Rattus norvegicus: one gene and its partners. The protein of the gene in region 3 purifies or fractionates together with the protein of the main gene of each other region. This does not show direct contact. Links are inferred from orthologs where the notes say so. Each region holds a gene or a part of one and is shown on either strand. Other genes may lie near its edges.

Evidence for each region. The genes of interacting proteins can lie anywhere in the genome.
Region 1: the proteins of Prpf8 (region 3) and Eapp purify together in Homo sapiens (affinity purification with mass spectrometry; 4 studies listed by BioGRID and IntAct, counting the BioPlex papers as one, with this or other methods). This does not show direct contact. The link is inferred for Rattus norvegicus from reciprocal best matches to the Homo sapiens genes PRPF8 and EAPP.
Region 2: the proteins of Prpf8 (region 3) and Dhx15 fractionate together in Homo sapiens (co-fractionation; 3 studies listed by BioGRID, with this or other methods). This does not show direct contact. The link is inferred for Rattus norvegicus from reciprocal best matches to the Homo sapiens genes PRPF8 and DHX15.
Region 4: the proteins of Prpf8 (region 3) and Sf3a2 purify together in Homo sapiens (affinity purification with mass spectrometry; 3 studies listed by BioGRID and IntAct, with this or other methods). This does not show direct contact. The link is inferred for Rattus norvegicus from reciprocal best matches to the Homo sapiens genes PRPF8 and SF3A2.

What each region holds. Positions count from the first base shown.
Region 1 is NC_086024.1:77,926,109-77,930,319, forward strand, and holds the start of Eapp (E2F-associated phosphoprotein), read right to left. Parts: upstream 2,807-4,211; 5' UTR 2,727-2,806; coding exon 2,653-2,726; intron 1-2,652. UniProt on the Homo sapiens protein: May play an important role in the fine-tuning of both major E2F1 activities, the regulation of the cell-cycle and the induction of apoptosis. Promotes S-phase entry, and inhibits p14(ARP) expression.
Region 2 is NC_086032.1:62,998,669-63,002,703, reverse strand, and holds the start of Dhx15 (ATP-dependent RNA helicase DHX15), read right to left. Parts: upstream 2,807-4,035; 5' UTR 2,639-2,806; coding exon 2,568-2,638; intron 1-2,567.
Region 3 is NC_086028.1:60,836,269-60,839,779, reverse strand, and holds part of Prpf8 (pre-mRNA-processing-splicing factor 8), read right to left. Parts: intron 3,428-3,511; coding exon 3,221-3,427; intron 3,103-3,220; coding exon 2,939-3,102; intron 2,797-2,938; coding exon 2,670-2,796; intron 2,560-2,669; coding exon 2,367-2,559; intron 1,888-2,366; coding exon 1,700-1,887; intron 1,526-1,699; coding exon 1,287-1,525; intron 1,086-1,286; coding exon 939-1,085; intron 760-938; coding exon 549-759; intron 1-548. UniProt on the Homo sapiens protein: Plays a role in pre-mRNA splicing as core component of precatalytic, catalytic and postcatalytic spliceosomal complexes, both of the predominant U2-type spliceosome and the minor U12-type spliceosome.
Region 4 is NC_086025.1:9,563,394-9,567,565, forward strand, and holds the start of Sf3a2 (splicing factor 3A subunit 2), read right to left. Parts: upstream 2,807-4,172; 5' UTR 2,768-2,806; intron 373-2,767; 5' UTR 337-372; coding exon 211-336; intron 102-210; coding exon 30-101; intron 1-29. Other genes in the region: Plekhj1 (pleckstrin homology domain-containing family J member 1), read left to right, coding at 2,903-3,081, 3,195-3,444, 3,685-3,751. UniProt on the Homo sapiens protein: Component of the 17S U2 SnRNP complex of the spliceosome, a large ribonucleoprotein complex that removes introns from transcribed pre-mRNAs.

The sequences.
Region 1 (4,211 bases), on a different chromosome or scaffold from region 3:
CACCAGCCCAGAATACATGAGAGCCTGTATTAGTAGTAACAGTAAGGAGGTAGCACATGCCTTTATCCCAGCACTCTGGAAGCAGAGGCAGACTGATCTATTGAGTTCAAGGCCAACTTGGTCTACAGAATGAGTTCCAGGACAATCAAGGCTGCAGAGAGGTCTTGTCTTCAAAAACCAAAAAAGGAAAAAGGAAAGGGAGAAGAACTACATCTCAGTACTCCGGGATGTAACTCTGGACAGAACAGTTGCCTAGCAGGTACAAAGCCCTGGACCTGATCCTTACAATTCTTAGCACAACAAAGGAGGGTAGGGATGGGGGAAAACTGTAAGATCCACACAACACACTACCACAGGCAAATCTCCAGGGAAAAAAGCCAAATTCCGAAGGTTGCATAGTGCATAACTCCACTTTCACGACACCCGAGAAATGACAACACTGTACAAGTGGAGAACATCTGAGTGGCACCCAGGAGGTTCAGTAAGACAGAAAGGAACTGACAGTGACTACTCACAAGCAGCAAGAGGGTGTGAGGTGTGTTGGCGCACACCTGTGGTCTCAATACTCAAACGGCAGAAGGGAAAAAAGGCAGCGTGGTGGCACAGCACAGGCAGTGTGAGGCCAGCCTGAGATACACAGTGAGCACCAAGGACAGAGGAAAGGAGGCCAGTATACTCACAGGCAGTTAAAAGGCATCCTTGCAATGATACAATGTTGTCTTCACTGTTTTAGTATTCACATAGTGTCTGTATTTAGGTATGCGCAGTGCATTTGGAAGTCAGAAAACAACTTTGAGAAACTGTTCTTGCCTTCTGCCTTGTTTTTTGGTTTTTTGTTTTGTTTTGTTTTGTTTGTTTTGGGTTTTTTTTTAATATTATTTAGTGTATATGAGTACACTGTAGCTGTCTTCAGACACACCAGAAGAGAGCATCAGATCTCATTACAGATGGTTGTGGGCCACCATGTGGTTGCTGGGATTTGAACTCAGGACCTCTGGAGGAGCAGTCAGTGCTCCTAACCACTGAGTCATCTCTCCAGCCTGCCTTCTGCCTTGTTGAGAAAGGGTCTTTCTTGTTTCTTGCAGAATACTGCAAGCTAGTTGGTTCTCAAACTTAGATGGCATGTCCTGCCTCCACCTCTCACCTCACCATAGGAGTGCCAGGATTAAAGACTCATACTACTAACACATTCAGCTTTTTACACGAGTTCAGGGGATAGAACTCAGGTCTTCAGGTTTTCACAGCAAGTGCTTTTACAAGCTAAGCCATTTGCCCAGGCCTTGAACTACAGTCTTCTACAGTGGCTCTTAAAATGAAGGTCATGACCCCAATATTTACATTAAGGTTCATAACAGTAGCAAGATTACAGTTTGAAGTCTCAATGAAAATAATTTTCTTGTCAGAGGTCACCACAACATGAGGAAACTGTATTAAAGTGTTGCAGCATTAGTAAGATTAAAAACCACTGTTCTAGAACCTAGTTAATATAGGAAAAAAACAAGTCAAGTGTGGGGGCGCACACCTTTAGCCTAGCACGTAGAAGCAGAGGCAAGCGGATCACTGAGTTCAAGGCCACCCTGGTCTACAGAGCAACTTTCAGGCCAGGCAGAACTCAAGACTGTCTCAAAAAACTAAAATTAAAAAGTGAAATATATGGGGCTATAGAGATGACAGTTAAGAGCACTGGCTGTTCTCCCAGAGGACCCAGCTTCAGTTCCCAGCACCCACGTGGCAACTCATAACTGTAACACCTGTTCCAGGGGATCCAAGATCTTTTTTCTTTTTTTTTAAGATTTATATATAATAAGTACACTGTAGCTGTCTTCAGACACACCAGAAGAGGGCATCAGATCTCATTACTGATAGTTGAAAGCCACCATGTTGCTGGGAATTGAACTCAGGACCTCTGGAAGAGCAGTCAGTGCTCTTAACCACGAGCCATCTCTCCAGCCTCCATAAAAATAAATTTTAAAAATGAAATATATATAGATAAAAATAATACCGTGGGAAAAAAATAATACCGTGGGTTTAATACCCAGCAAGGGGAGAAAAGGTATGTGCTTTACACATATGTATAAACAAGGCAAATTCCTCAAGTAGGAAAAATACAACCTTTCCAGAATTATCACACAACTTCTTCAGTGCCTATCACAGGGCATCTTCTACAAAAAATAGGCACTTCAGTTCCCCTAGTATAAGGAAAACCTATGGAAGACAAGAATTTTGTATTTATGTCTATCATAACAAAAAAAATGTCCATTCACTATTTCCTTATTTCTATTTGACAGTCTTTAAGATAAGTACTTCATGCTAAGGCTTGTGGCCTCACTAGCTTAAGATACTGTCCCATACTTGTATTTATTTCCATTTATAGATGCGAAGCCGAGGATAACTGATTTGCCTTCAGTCGCAGTGCTAGTAAACAGTAAACAGGGTTCCATCTAAGGATTTACGCTTGGGGGCCCACGTTATTCCGGAACATCCCTCTTCCTGAACTGCTGTCCATCCTGGCTCCCCAGAGACTGAGCAGCCCCATCAGGCACCCTGAAGCCCCTTCAAGTGAAGCGGGCGACCGTGCGCCCAGGGACCGCAGACGCGACAAGCACAACGGCCTCAGCCAAGGCCCTGCGGATACGCGGGGCAGCGGCCCACCTGCTCAGAGCCGGCTCCTCGTCGCTCGGCTCTTCCACCGCGTAGGGGTCATAGTCATCCTGGAGCCGGTTCATGGCGGCCTAAGGATGCCTACACGGTCCCGGTGTCTGTGTACTCCTCAAGCACCTTCCCTAAAGCCTCCGGGACACTCCACTTCCGCCCATATTGCGAGTCCTTCCTGTGCGCCTGCGCAAGCCGTCCCACGGAAAAGGATGTCAGCGACGGGGCGTGCGGAGGGTCAATGTTACCACGTCTCTGCGTTTTCTTTTCCGCTGAAAACAGCAGTTGTCTTTGTGTTTTTCTTTTCTTTTTCTTCTTTTTCTTCTTCTTACTCGTCTCTTCTTTCTCCTCCTTTTTTTTAAAGCTTTATTTCGGTTTTGAGACGGTCTTACTGGCCCAGTCTAACCTGCAACTAGTTATGTAGCCCAGGCTGACTTCCCTCTGCCTACCGTGACTTGCTTGCGGAGAGCTGAGATTACAGTTGTATGTCACTAGCCTGTCTGATTTATTCCATCAAAGTTGTTACCTTAGCCTTTCTCCCTTGATTTATTATTAGTTTTACTGGCTGTGTGCAAATGTATGATAGTCCTACTCAGAAAAACAAAAAACAAAAAACACGGAAATCCGATCCTCTTTTACTAGTTAAACTTAACAAGAGTGAATCTCTTGGAATTGTGTCCTATGAGGATGAATTCCCTCCACTAGCAGAAACTGAATGAGCTAAAATTTCCTCGTTGCCGAGAGCCTGTAGAATGTACCCTGGGCGGCCCAGGGCTTCGAAGCTTAGGTTTTGATTTTCACACTTGATCGCCCAGGATCAACAAGCCCCTCCGCTCCCGGCCCCACAACCTTAGTGGACGGAGTTGCGCTGAGGGGGCCTACGTGACGTCACCACAGGGGCGTGGAGTATGTAGATGATTGTACATGCAAAGGCTACCGGTTCCCCCAACATAGATTGCTCACGCCGTTAGTGGATAATATCTACATTGTGTAAAGTGTGCTTTTAGGGTGCAATATTAGAAAAGAATGTGATGTAGAGAAGGAACATTGAAGAAAACACCGTAACTATAAGTAAGTGTATAATGATGGGGAACCTGCTTGAGGGGGAGGCAACTCATACTTACCTGGCAGGGGAGATACCATGATCACGAAGGTGGTTTTCCCAGGGCGAGGCTTATCCATTGCACTCCGGATGTGCTGACCCCTGCGATTTCCCCAAATGCGGGAAACTCGACTGCATAATTTGTGGTAGTGGGGGACTGCGTTCGCGCTCTCCCCTGGCTTCATGTTATAAAGATAGTTAGCTGCTCTATACATGATGTGTGTAGTAGCTATGAACTTACAGTGGTTTTTATCTATGTGTCTTTGGATGTATGAACATGCAACATCTGTTGCCAAGCAAGCTAAAATGCTATTTGAAAAGTTATTATACACAATGACAATTGTACTATCAGCGTTGTTGAGGTCTATGTAGTCTTAAGTGAAACAAAACCAAAAGGTGGCAAGAGCTCATTGTGGGTGGTGCTACCTACCGCCTGGGCTCCACTACCTTTTCTTCA
Region 2 (4,035 bases), on a different chromosome or scaffold from region 3:
TATCTGAAATGCACCAGGCAAATACTGGTTACTACTGATGTTCCATTTAAATTGTACTTGGAATAATAACGGGCACTAATATACTGCGCTAAAAAGGATGGAAACTAGTCATCTACTTCAGATATTTTATATAAACACTACTAAGCATGGGCATTAATATGTATACATATCTATAGAAAAAAAACCCAAGAAAGCACTTAATATCAATGAGCAAGACAAGAGATATGCCTTATAACTGGAGTACTGCACAAATAGGCCCCAAATTCCAAGAGCTCAGATATTACATTTTGTATTTAAGAATAAGTATGGTCTCCAAAGATGGAAATAATGATTTGGAGTAACTTACTGCTCTTTTCTTTATACCTTAAAGTGTGAAAATTTCTTGCTCACTGCATCTTATTTAATTTCAGCTACCACAGGATTGTAGTGAAACACACTTCTACCTACAAAGAATCATAATTATTGAGTTTCGATCAGGAATACTAAGAACCATTAGAATAAAAATGTCCTCAGATTTTCCAGAGCTGGTGAGATGGTTCAGAGTGAAAAACTGAGTTGACCCCTGGGGCCAGCATGGTCAAGAGGAAGTATCTAATTCCATGTTTTCTTCTGCTTGCCACAAGCAGTGGTCATACACCCAAACACACAAAAGTGTGCTGGAATGGAGACAACAGGGTCTGGTGACAGCTGGGGTGACAAAATGAACAAGCCTATGCTGTCAAATACACTAAACAAGAGCAAAAAGGAAGGAAAAGAGGGAGGGAGGGAGGAGAGGAGGGACAGAATCCCTGGCAGTCAAAAGTGCCTTCAAACTAAGTGAGGAAGAGAAAATCAATAGATACCAAGCACAAATACTGTATAAACTCATTGCTAAAGAAAATCAGTTCTATAAGAAAAAGTACTCAAAACACTTACGAAACAGCAACAACTGCCCTCCAGAATCTCTAGAAATTAAGGAATTACTCTTCAACTGAACTCTCCTGTACTTACTGACAAATATTAAATACTCAGAGAAAACATGAAGCTACCATGATACACCCAAAGTCCATTTTACCAATGTTATACATTAGCAAGAGAAATCACCATGATCACTGTGATCAATGTGGAGCCACTAATCGAAATAAATGCACTGAGTAGTGAACACACACACACAAAAACACTGAAAAGAACTATCTCAGAGTGACCTCTAAGTGGGAAATTAGTTGCATCTTAGCCAAATGTGACAATCACTACACTTTATCAATCCAATAAGAATGGCATTATGACAGGTGGTAATGTTTAACTACAGTTTTATGTTTCATGTTGAGAAAAGGAGATTTCTAGATGCCACTGTAAAGTATGGAAAAGATCACTGTAATGTTGCTCTCCCTTGGAGAATAATCATGAGCTGTATTTCTACCTAAGAACTGACTGAGCTCAAATATGAACGCTTGGAATTTTTGCTTGCGGGAATAGCTAGCTGTCTTGGGATGTTGTATTATTACAATGCTTAGTATTACAAGCTTTAAAAAAAAAACTACAGAATCAAAACATAACAAACCTACTTTCCATATTCAATATTTCAATCTAAGGAGAGCATCAGAACACATCCTATCCTGACCTATACCTCCCATTGGTAGTTAGAAAGCAAGCCCAAAAGACTTAAAATCTCAAGAGACCACACATCTGACTTGACAGCTAGTGTCACAGGACGTAAGAAAATGATAAAAGCATACAACAGTTTTGGACATTCGGACTTCTGTGTTATATTTTTTTAACTAACCAAACAGATCTCTGTACTGCCAAAGTATAAACATACAGTTAATTAAAATGGAAGGGTAGGAATATAAGCTAAAGTACATTTTAAGTATGAACTGTCACAGAAAAGCTGGAAAATGATAATACAACTGCTTACATGCTAAATGCCCCGTCTTTGCAAAAGTCTAGGAAAAGGAACCAAACTGCCAGACCAAGAATCGGTGTAAGCATTCCTCAATCTGCACGTGGGTGTTGTTTGTTCAAACACGCTTAAGATCACTTTTTGAAAAGTGCGTCCAAAGTCGGGAGGAGATAGAAATAACTTACAGAGCGGAGGGAGATTACGTATTTTCACAGGCCTACCCCACTGATGCTTAGCAAGGCCGGTTTTTAAGCAAAGCAGGAAATAAAGGAGATGGCGGGAGGGCAAGCAGAGGGCGGAAGTTGGCAACGGCCTCTTCTGAAGTGCCTCAATGGAAGGAGGCCGTCCGTCTCCCGCCAAACAGTGCGCCCCGAGGTCGGCTGGTCTTTATCCCCAAGTAGACAGCTCCCGCCGCCGCCCGGGGCCGCTCAAGGGGCAGTGCCCTTGGCCACCCCATTCCGGACACTCTCCCCGGCTGCGGGCCTCACGCGAGCACCGAGGCCTCGCGGCCCGCTCCTCACGCCCGCCGCCCGCGGCCTCGTGGCCACCACAGGCCTCTCACCCTGACCGCACACACTCGGCCCGCGCCCCAGCCGGCCGATGGCAGACAAAGACTCGGCTGCCGGGCCTGCTCCCCGCCACAAGCCAACAAAGCCCGAGCCGCGACTGCGCACCCGGTCTGTCTTACCCATCGGTCCCCGCACGCTTCTTGCCGGAGGGGTAATCCTCCCCCAGGTCCAACCGATGCCTCTTGGACATCTTCGCACTCCCAGAGCGGACGCTTAGGAAGGAAGGAAGAAGAGAGACTCCAGCAGCCGGATCCACACAGAAGAGGCCCGCTGCTCAACTCGCAGGGACCCCCACCCCTCCCGCCACCACAGACCGCTCCGTGCGGCCCGAACCAGGAGCTAAAATGGCGGCCACGACGAGGGCAGGGCCTGCGCGCGCGCCGCCGCGGCGGGCGTGCCGGCGTGGTGCGCGCGCACGCCGCCCGGAGGCGGGAACTCCCGTCCCGCCCGATGTGCCATTGGCTGAATGGCTCTGCGCCCCGCGGGCTCCTCCCCTCTCCTCCTAGCTGTGAGCCGCTCTGAGCGATTGCGAAGGACGAAGATGAGCCTCAAGCTGTCACTTGCTGCCTGGAGTTCGTTCGGAAAGTTGGAAAAGCCTAGTTCTAATTAGGAAATCTATCCAGCTGTGTATTTACTTTTGTTTTTAGGGTCTGAAGCTCAGGAAGGCTTAAGGAAACAAGATCACACAGCTGGTAAGTGGCAGAGCAGGGCACAATTATTTTATAACTCCAGAACAGGAATTTGCAGTTGTTGCGCCAGATTCCCAGCCGCGGTGAGAAACATGTTAATTTACTGTGACTCGTTTTGTCCACTTACCCCAGAACAGTATTTATTCAATCTATAGGTGTTTTGGATAGGGTTCAGAAAATTGGAGGAATTCGTACTGGACACCTTATTTTTTCTCCAATCCTCTGCCCTAGTCTCTCTCCGTTTGTGTATATATGAGTACATATTAGGCACTTGGAGATGTTAACCCTATCTCTGTCCTCGTTTGGTTTGGTTTGGTTTGGTTTGGTTTGGTTTGGTTTGGTTTTCTAAGACAGGGTTTCTCTGTGTAGTTCTGGCTGTCCTCAAACATGCTCTGTAGAAGAGGCTAGCCTGGAATTCAGAGATCAGGTGCTGTCTCTGCCTCCCAGTGCTGGGATTAAAGACATGCCCTAGCATGCCTAGTTGCTGTGCTCCTTAGTAGAGTGAACCCTGAAAGACATTTTATAGACATAATCACCTAGACTGAAGGAAATCAACAAATAGCGCATCCATTAAAACTCCACTGTAATGGCAAGTTGTTGAGGGAAGGTGACACTTAAGAGGTTGTGTATCTTTCTCCCTTCAGCCTATGTGCTTGCTCAATTGCATTTATTTCCAGAAGTGTGGGGGGAAAGAATTCTAATGATCAGCCCAAACACAGAGTATCACTTCATGTCAAGATTCTCCTTGACTGCTCCTTGGCTCTAGTCCCTCAAAAATTCTCAAAAGATTAAATACAACAGAAACATGGCAGATGACAGCTTCTATTTTTGTATCATCCATCAGTACAAATTCAAATGAATATCTTTTTGTTACTTTCACAATACCCAATACAACCTT
Region 3 (3,511 bases):
TGAGATGGCTCAGAGCAGGCGAAGGTGCTTGTTACCAAGTCTTAGTTCCTTACTTCAATCCCCAGAACCCACATAGTAGAACAGACTACAAGCTGCCCTCTGGCCTCCACACAAATGCCATGGCATAAATGAACATGAAAAATCAGACATGGCAGAGTGTGCATTTAATCTCAGTACTCGGGAAGCAGCAGAGGTGGGGGTAGACCTTGGTAAATTCAAAGCTAAGCTGACTAGCCAGAGCTACACAGTGAGACCCGGCCTCAAAAAAAGGAAAAATAAAGGAGTAGGCCATGATGGTACACGCCTTTAATCCTCACACTTCTTGGAAGACAGAGGCAGGCTGATCGCTGAGACAATCAGGGCCAGGCTGGTCTACAAAGTGAACTCCAGACCAGCCAGGCTTACAGAGAAACAATGTTTAATCAAGCAAAGATTAACTGCGACTACACCCAACTCACTAGGATGATAATGAAAAGCTATGGCCATTCTTCACCCCACTGAGTCCAGAGTTCCAGGGGTGGTGAAGTGATGCCCTTCCTAGAATATACCTCATTCTGTAGATTCCAGACCCCGTCCTTGTGGGTGAACTCTTCATAGCTGGTACGGCACTTAGGTAGGATGCGGCACTCAAAGCCACACATGTTGAACAGCAGGTTGGGGTTGTCTTTACTGTACACAGACACAAAGCTATTCTCCCACTGTACTGTAGTCACCGATCGTGGCAGCCGGTTTTTGATGTCCCAGAACACTGCCCGACCCCTATCCACAGAGAACAGAGGCATTTCAGTCTGTTGAAGACACTTGCATCCAAAGACCAGGTAGATGATACCCCAACAGGTTTATATTCCTCCTACCAAGACACAACCTCAATCCTCCCTAATTTCTGGGTCCCTAGGACTAACATCCTTGTAATTCCCACAAACCCAACTGAAACTCACAAGTTGACATCATGCTTCATGAGACGCATACGGGCATCTCGGGGCCAGCATTTCTTATTATTGTAGCCAACAATGTTTTCATTATTGGGGTCTGGATGTTCTGTCAGGTAACGCTGGATCAGATCCCGAGCCTCATCTGCTGTGAACCTACATTAAGACAAGATATATAGTTGAAGTCCAAATATACTAGGACCCTTCGAGAACGCCAGCTCCACAGTGAGGACTCTATGCAACTGAAGGCTTCGTTTCACTTTATAGCCCAAAAGCAGTCAACTAAGCTATAAGAGCCACATTACAGGCAGAACATAGCTCCCTCCCCTGTTGGTTAAAGGAGCTATGCATCATTACCTGAAGAAAATATGGATGCGATCAATGTATCTACAGAAGAGTCGGATTGGGTGTGCAGCCTCGGTGGCTATGTCCTGAAAACTGAGAAAGTCATTTGGCATCTGCGGAGGCCCAGCCATCTCACTGGCCCGGTGCAATCCCAATACAAGCAAATCCATCACCAAACCATAGTACTGTACAATGAATGAGGCAAACTGCAGGCCTCTGATGATTCCATATGAATTTGTATGGTTCATGTCCTAGAAATGAAAAAGGAAAAAAAAAAAAAAAACACAACTCTTAGCTATGGCTATGGTTGGCTGTGTTCCAAGCACTTCAGGGTTCAATCTTCTCCATTCTCCCTTAGCAAATCCTAACTCAATGGGCCAGATGATCCCTTAACACATCTCTTTGCTCCTGGCTCCAGGACAGACCTTATAGTTGATGACTACATTGTTCTTGGCTGTCATGTAGTCAGCTATGTTGTGGTCCACAATGAGTCGCAGCAGCCTGTTGAGCAGGGTCAGGTCAATCTTCTCATACATCTTCTCAAACCGAGACTCCAGCATGACATTGCACTCACCCTCACTCGTCTCCCACACATCCTGCAGGTTATTGATGCCTAAAAAAGCAAAATGTCGGAGCTATGGCATATTACTAACACCTTTTCAGGACTAGTAACCTCAGCAGCTCTCTACACATTCCAAAACTCTCTACCGTCCGTCCATCCATCCATCCATCCACCCACCCACCCACCCACCCACCCACCCATCCATCCATCCTGGTTGCTCTAAGTGTAAGCTTTGCTCAACATCAGTGGTATTCACGCTTCCTTTTTCTTTTGGTTTAGTAGACAGGGTCTCTCTGTGTAGACATGGATGCCCTGGAACTTGCTCTGTAGACCAGGGGGTCCTCAAACCCAGAGATCTGCTGCTGCTGCCTCTGCCTCCTGAACTCGGGATTAAAGGCACATGGGACTACCACCTGGCAGTACTAGTCACTCTTATGTAATAAAATGGACCATGCAGCCTAGGCCTGAATTTTCATACAGAACTCAATTCACCTCCTTTCTCTGCAGAGGGTAACTCCAGAAATTTTTACCTTGGCACCACTTGTAAACAAGCAGTGGAGGGGGTTCTGTGTCAGCAGGCTTGATCCAGGGCGGGAAAAGACGGCGTTTATCTGCTTCATACCACAGGTACTGGTCCAGGTAAGCATCAGTTATTTTCTCCAGTGGTTCCACATCATACACTGGCACAAGGTGGCTATAGAGATCCATAAACTCAATGCCCACCTAGAGGAGGAAGAGCCTGGCTCACATCAACTCATCCAAGCCAATGCGGCACTCACTGCCAAGAATAAGTAGCACAGGCCAAAAGAAAACTTAGGGAGTATTTCACTCACTTCCTTAAAGGCTCTCTGCGTGAGGAGGTGACGCTTGATGCGGGACAAAGCCTCATGGGGGTTGTCATAGGCTTGTTCAATCAGACCCAGCTCCTCCCTCTGAGACTGGTTTAACCTAGACTTCACACTAACAAAGCAAAAAGAAAGGTGTATGAGAAAACCCAAGAAGATGCTAAACCAGAAGGAAATATACCTTCCTGTGAACTCGGACCATGATGCCACTCTCTCTCTGCTATCCTCCCAACAGGAACCCTCCAGCCACTCCTTACCTATAAGCTTCCTTGAGTCGCTCCAGAGCCAAGATAAGCAACTTGGTGTCATGCTTGTAGGAGAGTGGGGGGAACGGGATAGGAGAGAACCTACGGCTTTCCAGCCAGTGCACAGTGGTAGTATACACTGCCACTGCTTCCTCTGCTGTGATGTAAGGCCCGTCCTGGAAGGTGAACATCACGTTATCCCCCACTATTGTCCAAACTCAGGCAAAGCATCATCTTCACTCTGCAGCCCACCTTGCCACCCAGCCCCCACACACCCAGTCTAGCTGGCCCAACCTTCAGGTAATTGTGCTGCCGCTCCTGTTCTGCCTTCAGATACAGGCGGGTGAGGCGGCCCAGGTTCTTTTTGCAAACAGTCTTGTCTACAGTAGCCCCACGGCGAATCCGTTCACGGTTGTAGTGGGCAGTATTGGTCCACCAATCAGCCTTGGCCTTAACGTACCGAAGAATCATATTCTCTATAGGCGTTGGCAGTCCTGGGACCTGCAGGTACAAACACGATGAAAAAAGGTAGTAAGAACCAAGCACAGTGCTCCACACCTGCACCCGGCATAAAGCCGGAGGCGG
Region 4 (4,172 bases), on a different chromosome or scaffold from region 3:
AGAATGGTGGAAGTCTGGTGGGCAGGTACCTCATTGTTATGCAGAGTCAAGCAGAGTTTGCACTCATAGGATCCCAGGTGGTTCTTCATGAAATACGGGTCCTGGGAGTGAAGAAATGTACCGTGAGACCGCACAGCCTGGCCCCGGGACCCAAGGACCAAGGTGGGCAAGGTGAGGGCTCTGCAGGCCTGGAGACTCTCCCTCCCCCACCTTATTGATGTCGATGGTTTCCAGGGCCAGTTGCCGCAGGCGCTCTCTTCGATCCCGGTTGCTCTCTGAGGAGGAGGCCACGCCCCCACTCCCAGTTTTGCCTCCAGGTCGGTGCTGAAAGTCCATGATGCAGGCCTGGGTACTTTAGGGGACAGGAGAAACCTGGGGAGCAAGGAAGACTAAGGCTTAGAACCCTGCTGATGATGCTAGGACCGCGGGATGGCCCAGCATGCAAGCCATCCCTTCTCTGACCTCCTGATCCTCCCAAGTGCTGTGACTACCATTGAGCCGCCTCTCCCTGATGTAACATATGATTACTATTATTGTTGTTGTTATTATTGAGGGAGGAGTCTCTACGTAGTCATGGCTATCTTAGAACTCTCCTCACACATTAGGCTGGCCTCTGCCTACCTCTGCTGGCATTAGAGGACACACCCTCCTCTGCCTGACACAAGGAATGCTCGATACCAAGGGTCTCACCTTGGAGGCTCAGCCAAAGCCTCCAGACAGTGTTACCTGAGGCAGAACACTTAAGACTACTCAGTCTACTGGTAAACCTACAGTAAACCCAGGGCCAGCGACCAGGAGACAAGTAGAGACAGCTCTTGTCATCATCACTGGTGCCTCCCATAGCACAAGGGGCTCTACAAATGTGACCAAGAACCTTGAGGGCAGGTACCCAGTTACTACAATGTCACTAGAGTGTGCTCAAGGCTGACAGGCCACTGACAGCACTGGCTGTCAAGGAGGAAGAGGCCAGAAGGCAAAGGATACAGGATGCTCTAGGTGCTGAGAGGGACGGCTTGAGAGGTGTACACTGAAGTGGCGGGACAGGAGCAGCCTATTAGATGTTTTGTACTCAGCCAAAGACTGAGAAGGGCATCGTCTACATCATCCAGAGCTACCAACAGACACACTCCCAGAGATGAAGCTGGCCAGACACGAGAGTACAGCCAAACGGTGGGAGAATCAATTGGCTTCTCAGAGTTAGGGGCACCCACAAGCAGCAGCAGCAGGATGGAAAACCACTCCAGGCTCAGGCAAAGACAACTCTTGAGAACATAGGACTCTGTGGCTGGCCTCCCCAGGGAGGCTGGGTGTCCATCCACAGACTTGACGGTGCCACTCAAGGAGAACACTTGTCCAGCATGCACTGGGTCCCCTGGGGGGGCATGCTTGAGGTTGAGTGCATGGATATCCACTGCAGAAATGTAGTTCATCAGCTTTGGAAGGAAAGCAGAATAAAACTGGCCTGGGTGAGCATACTGCTTGGCCCAGTGGATGGAGCACAAAGTTTTGCAAACGCTCACCAATGAACTACCGCCTCAGCCCACCAACAGTTCCCAACCTCAGGAAACAGAAAACATGGGGCATGGCAGTGTATACATTTCCTTCCAGCTCCCTTAGAGGCCAAGGTAGAAAGATGATGGGTATAATTTGAGACCAAACTGGGCTGTGCAGTGAGATCTGTCTCAAATAAAAGACAAAAGGGTGCTGGGTAGGCTGGCAAGATGACTTAGTGGCAGATCACAACCACCAGAAACTCCAGCTCCAGGGAACCTGACAGTCTCTCCTGGACTTGACGTTATCATACTCACACATGAAGCTCCACATGGACACACATTTGGAAAAAAAATCTTTAAAAACACGGGAAAGGGATTCCAATACCAGCTTTTATCTGCTTCCTGACTATGGCTGTAACACGACCACCATAGTGGACTGCACCTTCATACTATCAGTCAAAATAAACCTTCCTTAAAACAAAACAGTCAAGTGTAGTGGCACACGCTGTAAATCTCAGTATGCGGGAGGCAGAGGTATGGGAGTGTATGTGAGCTCGAAATCGGCCTAGTCCACACAGGGTTCCAGGTCAGCCTCAGTTATGCCGTGAGACGCTGTCTGAAATAAAGTAAAATTGTGCCGATGACTGGATGGACTCACAAGTGAAGCCTGGGACAAGAGACCAGGATGAATGGTTGGGAGCCGTGCGACCTCACGGACTACTCTAAGATTACCGATGAACGATCAATAGAAACAGAAGAGTAGTATATGTTAAGGTCACGGTCTGGGAGAAGGCCTGCCTGGTCTAAAGGCAAATCACTTTTTTTTTCTTTTTTCTATTTTTCGGAGCTGGGGACCGAACTCAGGGCCTTGCGCTTGCTAGGCAAGCGCTCTACCACTGAGCTAAATCCCCAACCCCGCAAATCACTTTTAAATGCATATACCGTTATCTTTTAATCCGAGCAACAGACCTACTACAGTGGACAGGAGCAGTAGTCGCCATGGCCCTGACTAACGGCGAGGGAAACTGAGGCAAACAAGCAGGTTAAATGACATTCCAAGAACCCGAACCACCCTAGAGGCCACGGAACCGCCACAAAAGTCCGCGATCACGCCACGACTCAAAGGACCTCGCGAGACCGCGCTCTTAGGGCGAGGGTGCGCCACGCCTAAGGGGAAAGGGCGGCCGCTGCCCCGCCAGGCCCCACGCTCTCGCTCCTACTTTCAAGACCCACAGACGGGGCAGCCGCCACCGACAAACCGCGTAGTTCCTTACCAACACCAAGGCCTCGGTAACTGGGCTTAACCTCCCCGAATGCCGCGATTTTGTTGTGCGCATGCGCACGACCGCTTGAGCAATCACTTCCGGGGGCAAGGAAGGCGGAGTTTCATGTGTGCGCATGCCCAGCGAATGGACTCCCCCTACGGGAGGCGGGAGAAAAAAAAAAGAGCGCCGGGACACGGAGTACGCGTGCGCACTGCATTGTCTACGAATTCTTGCTCCGCCCTAACTCTGTTGGCGCTGACTATCGCGACAGGACTTAAACCTCAGGGTTCACAGGCCCGGGAACGAGCTTCGCGTATCGTGAGGTGCTATGAGTCTAAATTTACACCCCACGTTCAGTGTGTCTGACGGTTATTTAAGGACGGGCGATTTCCTTCCCGTCCGACTCCTTGTTCTACTGTGCTGACCCACCAACTAGCGTCACGCAACACGCCCAACAACGCGCAGGCGCAGTAGCACCGTTGGGACTTACGAGGTCGCTTCCTGAGACTTTTGTGGCGCTAGTAGCGGCTTCGGGCAGGACGGCGGCCGAGAGGCAGGGCGCGTTTTGGTTCGCGCGGATCCGGGCGGCGAGATGCGGTACAACGAGAAAGAGTTGCAAGCGCTGTCCCGGCAGCCGGCAGAGATGGCGGCCGAGCTGGGCATGCGGGGCCCCAAGAAGGGCAGCGGTGAGCTGGTCCGGGCCGGGGCTGGGACACTTGGGCGGGCCGCGGGGTTCCCCGGTGGGCGGATGACAGCAGTTGCGCGCTGACACCGCCCTCTGCCTGCAGTGGCCAAGAGGCGGCTGGTGAAGCTGGTGGTCAACTTCCTCTTTTACTTCCGCCCGGACGAGGCCGAGGTAGGGGTGTGGGGGGCGCGGGGGACCCGCGCGGCCCAGAGGCCGGTGCTCATGGCCGTGTCTCGCGCAGCCCCTCGGAGCCCTGTTGCTGGAGCGCTGCAGAGTGGCCCAGGAAGAGCCGGGAGGCTTCTCCATCAGTAAGTGTTCTGTTCCCCACTTTCCACCCCGGACTCTGCTCCGCGCACGCGATCCTTTTTACTCCCTTAGGAATCTCCATTTGTCCTGGATCTCGCGTCCGCTGGTGGCCCATGACTGTCCCAGCTGTCACTCAGAGTGACCACTGGGTCAGGTTCTCATCTTAGTTTCTTCCCCGATCCTCTGCCGGTTTACGGCCGAGAGAGGTGCAGTCTGTGAACTTGGTGTGTATAACTGAAGCAGTCTCTGCCGTGGGAGTGAGTGTGCGGGCAGGGCTTTGAGGCCTTGAAGGACACCTGTCTCAGCCTTCACCTCTGGAGAGGTCTTTCTGCTGCGTACCTTGTAGAGATTTGTCCATCGTGTCTACCTCTGTCATCCAGTGGGGTTCTCCATCTGTACCCCTATTTTCTGCTTCTTGTACAT